2 linked regions of the Lonchura striata genome follow. The protein of the gene in region 1 binds, or shares a complex with, the protein of each later gene. Links are inferred from orthologs where the notes say so. Each region holds a gene or a part of one and is shown in the gene's direction. Other genes may lie near its edges.

Region 1 (8,013 bases):
CCAAGTACCCCTGAGTAACCCCTGAGTACCCCCCGAGTACCCCGAGTAACCCCTCAGTAAACCCCTCAGTACCCCGTGAGTACCCCCAAGTACCCCCCGAGTACCCTGTGAGTACCTCGTGAGCACCCCCCGAGTAACCCCGAGTAACCCCTCAGTACCCCGTGAGTACCCCCCGAGTACCCTGTGAGTACCCTGTGAGTACCCCGTGAGTACCTCATGAGTGAGTACCCCCCGAGTACCTCGTGAGTACCCTGTGAGTGAGTACCCCGTGAGTACCTCATGAGTGAGTACCCCCCGAGTACCTCGTGAGTACCCTGTGAGTGACTACCCCGTGAGTGAGTACCCCCCGAGTACCCCCCGAGTAGGCGGTGAGTAGGCGGTGAGTAGGCGGTGAGTAAGGGTGTCTCTCTTGGCGGGCAGTGCTGAACCAGCTGGAGGAGCTGCTGAGCGACATGAAGGCGGACGTGACGCGCCTGCCGGCCACGCTGTCGCGCATCCCGCCCATCGCCGCGCGCCTGCAGATGTCGGAGCGCAGCATCCTCAGCCGCCTGGCCAGCAAGGGCGCCGAGAGCCACCCCCCGCCCGTGAGTGACACCCTGTCACACTGTCACATTGTCACCGTGTCACCCTGACACCCTGTCACACTGTCACACTGTCACCCTGTCACACTGTCACACTGCCACCTCGGCATCCTCAGCCGCCTGGCCAGCAAGGGCGCCGAGAGCCACCCCCCGCCTGTGAGTGACACCCTGTCACACTGTCACACTGTCACCCTGTCACACTGTCACTGTGTCACACTGTCACCCTGTCACACTGTCACACTGTCACACTGTCACCCTGTCACACTGTCACTGTGTCACACTGTCACCCTGTCACACTGTCACACTGTCACACTGCCACCTCGGCATCCTCAGCCGCCTGGCCAGCAAGGGCGCCGAGAGCCACCCCCTGCCCGTGAGTGACACTGTCACCCTGTCACATTGTCACCGTGTCACCCTGACACACTGTCACCCTGTCACACTGTCACCCTGTCACACTGTCACACTGCCACCTCGGCATCCTCAGCCGCCTGGCCAGCAAGGGCGCCGAGAGCCACCCCCCGCCCGTGAGTGACACCCTGTCACACTGTCACATTGTCACCCTGTCACACTGTCACCCTGTCACACTGTCACTGTGTCACACTGTCACCCTGACACCCTGTCACACTGTCACACTGTCACACTGCCACCTCGGCATCCTCAGCCGCCTGGCCAGCAAGGGCGCCGAGAGCCACCCCCCGCCCGTGAGTGACACCCTGTGACACTGTCACCCTGTCACATTGTCACCCTGTCACATTGTCACCCTGTCACACTGTCACACTGTCACCCTGACACACTGTCACCCTGACACCCTGTCACACTGTCACACTGTCACCCTGTCACATTGTCCCCGTGTCACCCTGTCACACTGTCACCCTGACACCCTGTCACCCTGTCACCCTGTCACCCCACCGTGGGGACATTGGTATTGTCCCCCTGTCACCCAGCCCCAGGGACATTGTCCACGCCTTGGGGACAGCCCTGACCCTGGGGACAGCCTGTCCTGAGGACACCCCTGGCTGTGGGGGTGGCAGCAGGAGGTGACCCCAGGAGGTGACAGTGACGGGGTGACACCAGGAGGTGACAGGTGACCCCAGGAGGTGACAGTGACGGGGTGACCCTGGGAGGTGACAGTGGGGTGGTGGCTCTAGGAGGTGACGGGGAGGGTGACTCCATGGGGTGACCCCGGGAGGTGACAGCATGGGGGTGGCACCAGGAGGTAACACTGGGAGGTGACCCCAGGTGACCCTGGAGGTGACAGTGGGAGGTGACACCATGGGGTGACCCTGGGCAGTGACCCCAGAACTTACCCCTGTCACTGTCCCCTGTCCCTGTGTCCCTGTCACTGTCCCCTGTCCCTGTCCCCTGTCCCTCTGTCCCTGTCCCTCTGTCCCTGTCCCTCTGTCCCCGTCCCTGTGTCCCTGTCCCCTGTCCCTGTCCCCTGTCCTGTCCCTGTCCCTGTCCCTGTCCCTGTCCCTGTCCCTGTCCCTGTCCCCTGTCCCTGTCCCCTGTCCCTGTCCCCTGTCCTGTCCCCTGTCCTGTCCCTGTCCCTGTCCCTGTCCCTGTCCCTGTCCCCTGTCCCTGTCCCCTGTCACTGTCCCCTGTCCCTGTCCCTGTCCCCTGTCCCTGTCCCTGTCCCCCGTCCCTGTCCCCTGTCCTGTCCCCTGTCCTGTCCCTGTCCCCGTGCTGTCCCCAGACCTTCCCGCCGGGGCCCTACGCGACCCCCCCGAGCTACGGGGGCACCTTTGGGACCCCCCCAGCCGGAGCCCTGCCCCACCCCGGGGGGGCCAACTACAGCCAGATGCCACCGGGCTCCTTCATCTCCGGTGAGACACCGGGACACCGGGACACCGGGGACACCGGGGACACCGGGGGGGACTGGGGACAACGGGGGGACACGGGACACCGGGGGGGACTGGGGACATTGGGGACACTGGGGACACTGAGGGGGACTGGGGACAACGGGGGGACACCGGGGACACCGGGGGGGACTGGGGGGACTGGGGACACTGGGGTGGATACTGGGGGGACACCGGGGGGGACTGGGGACACTGGGGGGGACTGGGGGGACTGGGGACACTGGGTGATCCCCAAAAATGGGACACTGGGGACACTGGGGGGGACAAAATGGGACACGGGGGGGGGGTCCCTGGGGTCTCTGAGGGTGTCATTGGGTGGAGAAGGGGGTTCCCTTGGGGTCCCATGGGTGGGGGTCTCTGGGGCGGTTCCCATGGGTGGGGGTCCCATGGGTGGGGGTCCCATGGGTGGGTGTGGGGGTCTCGGGGGAGGTTCCCATGGGTGGGGGTCCCATGGGTGGGTGTGGGGGTCTCGGGGGCGGTTCCCATGGGTGGGGGTCCCATGGGTGGGGTTCCCATGGGTGGGGGTCCCATGGGTGGGTGTGGGGGTCTCGGGGGAGGTTCCCATGGGTGGGGGTCCCATGGGTGGGTGTGGGGGTCTCGGGGGAGGTTCCCATGGGTGGGGGTCCCATGGGTGGGGGTCCCATGGGTGGGGGTCCCATGGGTGAGGGTCCCTGACCCCCGTGTGTCCCCCCAGCCTCGAACGGCCCCGCGGTGCTGGTGAAGCGGGGTGGGTGTGGGGTTCCCATGGGTGGGTGTGGGGGTCTCGGGGGCGGTTCCCATGGGTGGGGGTCCCATGGGTGGGTGTGGGGGTCTCGGGGGCGGTTCCCATGGGTGGGGGTCCCATGGGTGGGGGTCCCTGACCCCCGTGTCCCCCCCAGCCTCGAACGGCCCCGCGGTGCTGGTGAAGCGCGAGGCGGAGGCGCTGGAGCGGAAGGAGCCGCCGCCGCGGGGGGGGGAGGTGATCTGCATCGACGACTGAGGGGGGGGAGGGGCCGGGGGTCCCCCCTGCCCCTCCCCCCCCCAAACCCCCACCCCGGGGCGGCCCCGAGCCCGGCGGGGGGAGGGGCGGGGGGTGGGGGAGGGGGGGAGGGGCTATAAATACGGAATTTGGAATTCTATAGGAGCGGGGTCGGGGGGAGGGGCGCTCCCCGGCCCTCCCCCCCCGCCCGGGCTCCGTTTCACCGCAGAGAATAAACCCGAGTCTGTCCCGGGATTGTCCCAGACTGGGGAATAAACCCGGGATTGTCCCAAAGGAGTGGGGAATAAACCCGGGATTGTCCCAGACTGGGGAATAAACCCGGGATTGTCCCAGACTGGGGAATAAACCCGGGATTGTCCCAAAGGACTGGGGAATAAACCCGGGATTGTCCCGGAGCTGGGGAATAAACCCGGGATTGTCCCAGACTGGGGAATAAACCCGGGATTGTCCCGGAGCCGAGGGGAATAAACCCGGGATTGTCCCAAAGGAGTGGGGAATAAACCCGGGATTGTCCCGGACTGGGGAATAAACCCGGGATTGTCCCAGACTGGGGAATAAACCCGGGATTGTCCCAAAGGAGTGGGGAATAAACCCGGGATTATCCCGGAGCAGTGGGGAATAAACCCGGGATTGTCCCGGAGCTGGGGAATAAACCCGGGATTGTCCCAGAGGAGTGGGGAATAAACCCGGGATTGTCCCAAAGGAGTGGGGAATAAACCCGGGATTGTCCCAAAGGAGTGGGGAATAAACCCGGGATTGTCCCAGACTGGGGAATAAACCCGGGATTGTCCCAAAGGAGTGGGGAATAAACCCGGGATTGTCCCAGAGGAGTGGGGAATAAACCCGGGATTGTCCCAGAGGAGTGGGGAATAAACCCGGGATTGTCCCGGAGCCGAGGGGAATAAACCCGGGATTGTCCCAAAGGACTGGGGAATAAACCCGGGATTGTCCCAGAGGAGTGGGGAATAAACCCGGGATTGTCCCGGAGCCGAGGGGAATAAACCCGGGATTGTCCCGGAGGAGTGGGGAATAAACCCGGGATTGTCCCGGAGCAGTGGGGAATAAACCCGGGATTGTCCCGGACTGGGGAATAAACCCGGGATTGTCCCAGACTGGGGAATAAACCCGGGATTGTCCCAAAGGACTGGGGAATAAACCCGGGATTGTCCCGGAGGAGTGGGGAATAAACCCGGGATTGTCCCGGAGCAGTGGGGAATAAACCCGGGATTGTCCCAAAGGTTACCATGGAGAGGTTTGTGGAGGGGAATTCCCCTTTTTTTGAAGCTTTTTTGGGCCGTTTTGCCCCAATTTCCCCATTTCTTGGGGGGCGCGGGGGCGGGGCTGGAGGAGCGAGGGACGATGGAGCGCGCGCTGGGGGACTGACGTCACTTCCGGCGCGGGAGGACCCACCGAGATGCGCGGGGCGAGCGCAACTTCCGGTTCCGTGGGGGAAACTACAGAGCCGCGCGCTGGGTAACTGACGTCACTTCCGGTGCGCCGGACCAGCGAGTTCACCACGCCTCTCTGCCCACGTGATCCTGCAGCCGGCTCCGATTGGTGGATGGGTCGGCGACGAGAGAAGCGCTAAACCAATGAGGGATCGGGGCGGGTACTGAGGGCGGGTCACGTGATCGGAAGGGAAAGCGGGAGCGTCGCCATGGTGAGAACTGGGATGGGGAACTGGGAGAGACTGGGAGAGACTGGGATGGACTGGGATGGACTGGGATGGACTGGGAGGGACTGGGGGGGACTGGGAACAGACTGGGATGGATTGGGATGGACTGGGATGGGACTGGGAGGGACTGGGGGGGACTGGGGGGGACTGGGAACAGACTGGGATATACTGGGAGGGACTGGGATGGAACTGGGAGGGACTGGGGGGGACTGGGAGGGAACTGGGAGGGACTGGGATAAACTGGGAGGGACTGGGATGGACTGGGGGGGAACTGGGGGGGAACTGGGAGGGAACTGGGAGGGACTGGGATAAACTGGGAGGGACTGGGATGGACTGGGGGGGAACTGGGATGACAGCAGCCTGTACTGGTTTATACTGGGCTGCACTGATCCGTACTGGTCCATACTGGTTAACGCTGTCCGTACCGGTTTATACGGGTCCATACTGGTGTGTACTGGTCCGTACTTACACTAGTTTATACTGGTTTATACCGGTCCGTACTGGTTTACACTAGTTTATACCGGTCCGTACTGGTTTATACCGGTGTATACTGGTCCGTACTGGTTTACACTAGTTTATACCGGTCCATACTGGTTTACACCGGTGTATACTGGTCCGTACTGGTTTATACTGGTCCGTACTGGTTTACACCGGTTTATACCGGTCCGTACTGGTTTACACCGGTGTATACTGGTCCGTACTGGTTTACACCAGTTTATACTGGTCCGTACTGGTTTACACCAGTGTATACTGGTCCGTACTGGTTTACACTAGTTTATACCGGTCCGTACTGGTTTATACCGGTGTATACTGGTCCGTACTGGTTTACACTAGTTTATACTGGTCCGTACTGGTTTATACCGGTGTATACTGGTCCGTACTGGTTTACACCAGTGTATACTGGTCCGTACTGGTTTATACCGGTGTGTACTGGTCCGTACTGGTTTACACTAGTTTATACCGGTCCGTACTGGTTTACACTAGTTTATACCGGTCCGTACTGGTTTATACCGGTGTATACTGGTCCGTACTGGTTTACACTAGTTTATACCGGTCCGTACTGGTTTACACCGGTGTATACTGGTCCGTACTGGTTTACACTAGTTTATACTGGTCCGTACTGGTTTACACCGGTGTATACTGGTCCGTACTGGTTTATACTGGTCCGTACTGGTCCATACTGGTTTACAGCGCTGTCTGCGGCCCGCAGGCGGCGCTGGCGCAGGGCCTGGAGCGGGTTCCGGCCCAGGCCGGGTTCCTCGTGATCAGCGACGGCGCCGTGCTGGCCGTGAGGGGCTGGAACGGGGGGTCCCGAAATTGGGGAGGGGTCCCAAAATTGGGGGGAGGGGAACCTAAAATTGGGGTCCCGAAATTGGGGAGGGGGACCTAAAAAATGGGGGGAGGGGGACCTAAAATTGGGGTCCCAAAAATTGGGGAGGGGTCCCTAAAAATGGGGGGAGAGGGGCCTAAAAATGAGGGAGGGGTCCCAAAATTGAGGGGGGGTCGTCCCTAAAAATGGCGGAAGGAGTCCCAAAATTGGGGGGTGTCCCTAAAAATGGGGGGAGGGGTCCCTAAAATGGGTCTCAAAATTGGGGAAAGGGATCCCTAAAAAATGGGGGGAGGGGTCCCAAAATTGGGGTCCCAAAAATGGGGGGAGGTACGGAACTGGGAGGTCCCAAAAACTGGGGAGGGGGTCCCTAAAAGTTGGGGGAGGGGGGAGGCAAAATCTGGGGGGGGGGTCCTCGAATTTGAGGGTGCCAAAATCTGGGGGAGGGGGGGGAAGTTCGGGGGGGGGGGGGGTGTGAAGCTTTTTTGGGGGTTCCTCAATTTGGGGAGGGGTCCCTTCAAACCGGGGGTTCCCAGGTGGGTTTTGGGTTATTTTTTGGGGATTTTTGTTTCCCTCTGGGAGGCTTCAATTTTTTGGGGGGGGGATCTTGGAGTGAGAATTCCCAAGAAGTTTTGGGGGGATTCCCAAGAATTTGGGAAATTTTTGGGGGGGTGGTTCTCAGGTCATTTTTGGGGTGGTTTTTTGGGGCATTTTTGGGGAGTTTTCTCCTCCTGGGTCCCCCAGTTTTTTTGGGATCTTTGAGCGAGAACTCCCAAAAGAAATTTTGGGGGGGATCCCCAGGAATTTTGTGGGGGTCCTCAAGTCATTTTTTGGGGTGATTTTGCTGCATTTCGGTGCCGCTTTTTGGGGGTTTTTTTGGGGGGGATTTTTTTTGTTCCCCCTGAGAACTCCCAAAAAGCTTTCGGGGTTCCCCAAATGCGGAATTCTTCCTTCGGCAGTCCTCGGGGGACCTGGAGAACGACGAGCACACGGCCACCGTCCTGCAGGGCCTGGTGGCCACGGCGCTGGGGCTGCGGCTGCCCCGCGGCCACGAGCCGCCCTTCCGCCGCCTCTCGGGTGAGCTGGCACGAAAAGAGGCACGGAACCGCCCCGAAATACCCAAAACGGGCACGGAACGGCCCCGAAATATCCAAAACGGGCACGGAACGGCCCCGAAATATCCAAAACGGGGACAAAATATCCAAAACGGGGACAAAATATCCAAAACGGGCACAAAATGGCCCCGAAATATCCAAAACGGGCACGAAACCGACCCGAAATACCCAAAACGGGCACGAAACGGCCCCAAAATACTCAAAACGGGCACGGAAGGGCCCCAGAATATCCAAAACGGGGACAAAATATCCAAAACGGGCACGCAACGGCCCCAAAATATCCAAAACGGGCACGGAACGGCCCCAAAATACCCAAAACGGGCACAAAATATCCAAAACGGGCACGAAACCGCCCCAAAATATCCAAAACGGCCCCAAAATATCCAAAACGGGCACAAAATATCCAAAACGGGGACAAAATATCCAAAACGGGGACAAAATATCCAAGACGGGCACAAAACGGCCCCGAAATATCCAAAA
Region 2 (7,303 bases), on another chromosome or scaffold:
ATCCTGGTACTCCTGTGTCTTCTTAAAAGAAGAAAGTTGTTCCAAAGGCTTTAACAAGTACTTAGACCTTCCTGTTTACAAATGAGTCTGAGCTTGCAAGTGATCTTTTAGTTAACAGGAAAAAGGATATATAACACATTTATCAAATATTGGAACTGTGAAGTCAGAGTGAACAGATGGTCTTAGCAAAGCTGCCTATAATAATTCTATGGGCTGTGTCTGCCCTTCAGCCACTTCTGGTGCAGGTGAGAAGTGGGGAAATGGATGGATGCTGAGCTGTGTCAGCTGGGTTCCATTCCTATCAGTTCTTCTGCAAGCTGGAATGATGTGCTGGCTGTGCCCTATGGCAACACAGATATCCCATAAGGTTAAAAGTGAGACCTAGACCACAACATTTCATTTGACTACCTTGCAATTAGCACTTTCTGAAAAGGAAATAATATGTTTATACTGGTGGAAGTATGCTGCTTAGCATTTAACAGATTAAATACTTGCACACTTTGAAATACGTAGTAATGTGCAAAAGGATGCTGTGATTTCCTGTGGCATAAAGATTAAGCTGCTCTAAATATGGCCTGCAAACACTCTTTTAATATTTCAAGTGGGTGTTTTTCTCCTCATGATTGTTGCTTTTTTCCTCAAGTCTGAAGGTTTGGTTTTTTTTTCCTTCAGAAATGTCAATATCTTCCCTGGATTTATTGAGGGAATCTGCTGGAAAGTACAGAATTAATTTTCTCATGAGCAAAATGCAAATTGAAGAGAGTGGAGTACTTAAATCTTTTCAGATGACCTTTCTTCAGAAGGAAAAGTTCTCATTAAAATAAGATATTGGAAAGAGAAGAGGAAAACAACACTGTTTTTGAACAGCCTGACTAAAAATCCCTCAAAATTTTAGCTACATGCTCCTTACTGTTTTTATTTAGTGATTACCTTTCATTTAATCTAGAGTTAAAGATAGCACAAGCATGGGTTCTTGGTTTTATCCTTTAAAAGGGCAGGCAGAAAAGTCCAGCAAAAAGAGAAAAATCTTGGCATGACTCTGACATAGCCTAATGAAAAAAGGAGGTGATTTGCATCTGCTGAAATATAACATCAATATGTGTTCTATTTATGGAGCATCCTGAGTCACAAGCGAGTTCAGTGTTCACATCTGATGAACATTTCCCTACAAGTTCTCTGTTTGGGTAAAACAAGTCTAAATTGGAATTTTTAACTGTTTTTTAAATGGTCTTTTTTCTTTTAACAAGTTTCCAAGAAATGGTAGAACATTACAGCGCTAAAACTGTAACAGATGAATTTAAATAGACATTAGAGACAACTTTAAATAATGAATATTTTTAATGTAATTTTGTAACAAATGCTGTGAAAGGATTTCAATGGGAGAGCAAGAATATTTTTTAAGGTTGTTTGTTCATAAATTTCATTCACCATTAAGCAGTTGTTATTCTGACTCCTTGTAGCTCTGTCAAATTGAAGAAAAGTGTAATAGTAAAAGCATTTTGTTTTTAGAAAAAGCAGGTAATACTAAATAAATTCCTAAAGCTATAATTTACTTACACAAAATGTAATGCAATAAATGTAGGAAAAAAAAGGCCATTTGTTGTGGTTTGGCCTCAGCCATGGATCAGCACCGTGCAGCCAGCTGCTCTCACCCCCACAGCGCAGTGGGAAAAATTGAACTCAGGTAAAACCTGTGGGTTGAGATGACAGCAGTTTCATCATCGAAACAAAATCAGGTATCAGTGATCAACAGCAATGAAAAGGGACACAACAAGGGAGAGAGGAATTGATGCCCAGTGCAATTGCTCACCACACTCTGACCCATGCCCTGCCTGTCCCTGTTGAGCAGTCAGCAGCTCCTGACCAACCTCCCCAGTTTATACACTGACCATGAGGGGATCCATGGAATGGAATTGCCCTTTGGCACATCCAGGTTTGCTGTCCTGGCTGTACTCCCTCCCAGCTTCTTGTTCACCTGCTCACTGCCAGAGTGTGGGAGACTGAAAAATCCTGGATTTAGAGTAAGCACTGCTCAGCAACAGCCAAAGTATCTGTGTTACCAAAATTATTCTCATACTGAATCCAAGGCACAGCACTGTACCAGCTGCTTGGAAGAAAAGTAACTCCCCTCTCCCAGCTGAAAGCAGGACACCATTATAAACTATACTTCCCATACTGCTCAGTCTGGCAGGAATTAGGTTTGAGTATTGGGCTTCTCCATGTTTTTAGAAATAATGTTAAAATACACTGTTTAGTTACAATGTTATCCTTCATGTAAGATACGCTTCTCCCTCCAGTACTGGTTTATTCCACATATAGAATGACTGTCATTGGGATGGGAGAATAAATTCCCATTAATAGTAATACAGGAGCCATCTCATAGATGCTTTTGCATAGCTTTTATTCAAAATGTGACAGGGAAATAAGTAAAATTGTTCATTGAGCATCATGGCTGCAAATAATTTTTTAAAAGTTGCATTTTTAAACATATTTAGTGTATATTAGGGAATATTTTAATAAATGAGAAGACCAAGGTTGTTCCAGGTAGCATTTTCAAAATATACCAGAAGCTCACACAATGATTTTAAGTATCTTTTAAGTATCTCTCTAATATGACCAAGTCCTTATCAAATTGCTGTGTGTGCATGGCTTGGATTAAGAAGGAGGTATGGATTCTCAGTATTCAAATAAATTTGTTCTTTTGAATTACTTTTTCCTCTTACTTGCAGAAAGTGGCTTATTTCTGTTTTGAGCTTTTTGGAAATGTCACTGGACCTATATGTGCAGAAACATTAGCAATTTCCAAGTTTTTTTTTTTTTTTTTTTTTTTAATTTACACTTTTTAAAAGTTTAATTTTATACTGGCATCTAAGCAAAATCTTCAGGTATCAACAATGCTCTAGTCCCTGTTGGTGTCCCCTCGGCTCAGTATTGGGCCCACTCCTATTCAGTATCTTTAGTGATGATCTGGATAAGGAAATTGAGTCTACCCTCGGTAAGTCCACAGTGACACCAAGTTGGGTGGCATTGTCGATCTGCTGGAGGGCAGGAGGTCTCTGCAGGGGATCTGGACTGGTTGGATCAATGGGCTGAGACCAACAGAATGAGGTTTAACAAGGCTGAGTGCTGCCCTTGGGTCACAGCAACCCCAGGCAGTGCCACAAGCAGGAGAAAGAGTGGCTGGGAAGCTGCCCAGTGGAAAAGGGCCTGGGGGTTCTGGTGACAGCAGCAGAACATGAGCCAGCTGTGCCCAGGGGGCCAAGAAGGCCAAGGGCATCCATCCTGGCCTGTATCAGCAATGGTGTGGCCAGCAGGAGCAGAGATTGTTTCCCTGTACTCGGCACTGGTGAGGCCACAGCTCAAGAGCTGTGTCCAGTTCTGGGCCCCTCACTGCAAGAAGGACATTGAGGAGCTGGAGTGTGCCCAGAGAAGGGCAGCGGAGCTGGAGAAGGGTCTGGAGCACAAGTCCTGTGAGGAGTGGTTGAGGGAGCTGGGGGTGAGTGTTCAGCCTGGAGAAGAGGCAGCTCAGGGGCACCTTACTGCTTACAGCCCCCTGACAGGAGGGTGTAGCTGGGGGGGTCGGCCTCTTCTAGCATGCAACCAGTGACAGGATGAGAGGAAATTATCTCAAGCTGTGCCAGGAGAGATTCAGGTTGGATGTTAGCAAGAAATTCTTCACAGAAAAGGTGACTAGTACTGAAACGGGCTGCCCAGTAAGGTGATGGAATCACTGCTGCTGGAGGTATTAAAGACTGGACGTGGCACTCAGGGCCATGGTCTGGTTAACCTGGTGGTGTTTAGTCATAGTCTGGACTTGATGATCTGGGATGTCTTTTCCAACTTAATTTATTCTGTGATTCCGTGCTTGGCCTGTAGCAGCTTTTTTTTTTTTTTTTTTTTTTTTAAAGAAAAATCATTGTTACATGCTGAGCAGCTTGGGGCATTTTTAGATCTACCATAAGGGTCCTGCATTCCGATAGAAGACTTTAAAAACAGATGTGCAGTTACCATTGTAACTAACTGTTACACTGTAGGCATCTACTAAATTAATCTATTTATTTCTTCACATTAGCTGTTAAATTGGCCTGCAGGCTCATGGTTTGATGGAATTGATCCAAAAGTAAGGGAAATAGGCAACAGTGGAAGAGCGGCAGTAATTTCTCGGCAGAAAAAGACGTTCGCTTTCTGTCGCTGATCTTCTTTAAGCAAAACGCTATGGCTTGTTTTGGCTTTGGTTCGTTTTGCTGCCGGGGCGGGGAGGGCGGGGACGGCCGGGAAGCGGTTCCGGGGCCGGCAGGGCGGTGCCGTGGCTCATGTGACAGCGCTCCGAGGGAAGCGGCGGCGGAGCCGTGCGGGGCGCGGGCAGGTACGGCGGGGCGGGCGGGAGCGGCCGGCCGGGCCCCGGGACGGAGCGCGGCCTCCCTCCCTCCGGCCGCCCGCGGTGACGGGGCCGCCTCGTCTTGTCTCGCAGGCCCCGGAGGCGGCGGCGGCAGCAGCGGGCGGGCCCCAGCCATGGCCGACGTGAGTGCGGCTCCGCGGGGCGGGCGGGCCGGGGCGGGCTGCTGGCGGGGCCGGGCGGTGCTTCGGGCGGGGAGGGAGCTCCGGAGTGCCCGGCCGCTCGGAGCGGCCGTGAGTAACGCGCCGCCGTCTCTGCCCGCAGGACCTGAAGCGGTTCCTGTACAAGAAGCTGCCGAGGTGAGGTGGGGCTGTGCGGGGCGGGCGGCCGGGCCCATCGGGTGCCAGCCCCCTGCCATGGCAGGGACACTTCCCACGACACCCGCTTGCTCAGAGCCCTCTCCGGCCTGGCCATGAACACTTCCAGGGGGGGGTATCCACAGCCTCCCTGGGCAGCCTGTTCCACTATCTCACCGCCACATAGTAAAGAATTTTTTCCTAATAGCTAACCTGAATTTCCTGGTTTTCAATTTGTCCTGTCACTGCAGTTTGTGATTACGAGTTCCTCTCCAGCTTCCCTATAAACCCCGTTCTGATACTGGAAGGTTGCTGTGAGGTCTCCACTCAACCTTTTCTTCTCCAGGCTGAACAGCCCCAACTTCCTCAGCCTGCCTTTGTAGGGGAAGTGCTTCAGCCTTTTCATCAACCTCATGGCTTCCTCTGCACTTGCTCCAGCAGTTCCATGTCCTTCTTATTGCTGGGGCCACCAGACCTGTACTAAACAGAACAAATACTAAATTAATGAAGGCATCAGTTTTTTTCAAAGTTCTCCCCTTCTTTGCACATTTGTTCACACAAAAAACCTTTTGTACTAATTACTGTGTTTTTAAAATTATGCATCTTCTTCCTTTTTTTTTTTCAGTGTTGAAGGACTTCATGCTATTGTGGTCTCAGATAGAGATGGTGTGCCTGTTATCAAAGGTAACTTCAGCTTCTCACTGTGCTCTGCAGCTGAAATCCTGATTGAACAGCAGAGGGTGGAGAAGTACAGAAAAGTCTTCCTGGTTATGCCAAATACCCGAATATCCCAAGTGGTAGAATTTAATTGGACTTTAAGTAAAAGTTCACTAGTTGATTATGTACCTTTTTGAACATATCCTTTTGTCTGTGCCCTCCGTAACTGTAGTCTGTGGGAGTTTTCCTCCATGACAGGGGCTGGAATGCTGTAAGGTCCTTTTAGCTTCAAGTCCCTCACAGGCTGATTGATACTAAGTAGTAGAGAGAGCTTGGCAGTATTTTGTTGGTTTCTTTGGTACTCTAGTTTTCATGTTCTGCAGTGCTTGTTTCAGATGGTTTTGGCTTGTGAGTATAATGGTTTAAGGATACAAAGATTCAAGTATTGCAGGTTTATTTTGCTCAATGCTCCAAAGTATTCAAACACCCAGCAGAACTTGCACATCTTCACCTGTCTGCAGTCAAGTGTGTGCCAGTAGTCTGTTCAAAGGTTGGAATGGGTGCAAACAGTGTGGGACATGGAACCAAAGGGGCATCAGCACAGGCTGTGCATCCTAAAGGAAAAGAGTCTTTTTCAGGTATGCAAGGAGGGATGCTGCTATAGCAAGCTATGATCATACAGAGAGCATTAAATTATGTACAGCTCGTGAAAATTGTCTGGTGTTCCTGTGGGAGCACCTCGGGCATCTTGCATGTTTCTCTGGTTTTGGCAGAGCACTGAGCTGGATGAGAGTTTGAGGTGCAGTCAGAGACACCATGTAAAGATAAGGATTTTCTTGTTTTGTTCTAGTTGCCAATGATAATGCTCCAGAACATGCACTGCGACCTGGCTTTTTGTCCACCTTTGCCCTTGCCACAGATCAGGGCAGTAAGTTAGGACTCTCTAAAAACAAAAGTATCATCTGCTATTACAATACCTACCAGGTGAGTAACCTCAGCGTGCCCTGTCCTCAGCAACTTGAGCTGTTCCTGCGTTACATTGAGCAAGAGAAAGAAGGTTGTTTAAGCTCTGGTAGATTTTCACTAGGCTGCTATTGAAGTAATTTTGGTTTATTTCTTACACAGCTTAAATGGTTAAGCCAAACTTTCACAGTATTTTTAAAACTTCTGTTATATTTCTCAAAACTTGAGATTTACTTCTTGATAGTGGGAAAGTGTAGTGGTTCTGAATTTGCAGGAGGTATTGTTCGTATGGTCTTCTGAATCTTTTATGAAGGGTTTATGTACTCTTTTAGAAACAATGTTTATAATTAGTGACACCTAACATTAATTAAAGTACATGCAGCCTACTTCATAGTTAATCTTGCTGCCAATATGGCTTTGAGATAAGAATGGTTTGAAATACCACTCACATTTTTCAGAAATAAATTATTTGTGTCCAGAAGTCTATAATCTACTACATTTCTGTTCCTTCATGAGTTCTGGTGGCCCTGAGAGCTTTTAATTATGACTGCAGTAAACTGAACAGCTGTTTAGCCTATAGTGTATCAAGCTTTGCTTGGAAATAAGTGGGTGAGTAAGACAGTTTGCCCACATCAGTACATTTCTTTGACTCTCTTGATGCTACTAGCTTACTGTTGTGCCCATGGCACCATTTCCCTGTTAATGGAAGAACAGATATTCCTGTACAGGGAACAGTATTTTAAAACAATAAACCTGTCTGCCATCCTGTTTCCTGTGGAGGGTGTGTCTCCACAATGGAATCTGCAGGGTCTGCAGCTAAGGTAGGGTTCTGGTGGACAGCAGTCTGTAGAACATGGAGACAGAGGGAATGGCCAGATTTTCCATGTGCAGCTCCCTGTACTGTAGTGTAAGGTCTGTTTGTGTTTCTAACCATGAATCTTAAGAAACGGGTACACTAAAAAGTCACCTCTGTGGCTCTTGCTCCTGTTTG

The links. Proteins that work in one complex are often made in the same cells at the same time.
Region 2: LAMTOR4 (region 1) and LAMTOR3 share a complex: the UniProt entries of both Homo sapiens proteins name them as parts of the ragulator complex. The link is inferred for Lonchura striata from reciprocal best matches to the Homo sapiens genes LAMTOR4 and LAMTOR3.

What each region holds. Positions count from the first base shown.
Region 1 is NC_134636.1:1,852,933-1,860,945, reverse strand, and holds the start of LAMTOR4 (ragulator complex protein LAMTOR4), read left to right. Parts: upstream 1-4,998; 5' UTR 4,999-5,073; coding exon 5,074-5,076; intron 5,077-6,301; coding exon 6,302-6,379; intron 6,380-7,377; coding exon 7,378-7,495; intron 7,496-8,013. Other genes in the region: CHD3 (chromodomain-helicase-DNA-binding protein 3), read left to right, coding at 421-584, 2,275-2,404, 3,316-3,416. UniProt on the Homo sapiens protein: As part of the Ragulator complex it is involved in amino acid sensing and activation of mTORC1, a signaling complex promoting cell growth in response to growth factors, energy levels, and amino acids.
Region 2 is NC_134606.1:49,697,166-49,704,468, forward strand, and holds the start of LAMTOR3 (ragulator complex protein LAMTOR3), read left to right. Parts: upstream 1-4,286; 5' UTR 4,287-4,366; intron 4,367-4,471; 5' UTR 4,472-4,512; coding exon 4,513-4,521; intron 4,522-4,660; coding exon 4,661-4,695; intron 4,696-5,317; coding exon 5,318-5,376; intron 5,377-6,199; coding exon 6,200-6,333; intron 6,334-7,303. UniProt on the Homo sapiens protein: As part of the Ragulator complex it is involved in amino acid sensing and activation of mTORC1, a signaling complex promoting cell growth in response to growth factors, energy levels, and amino acids.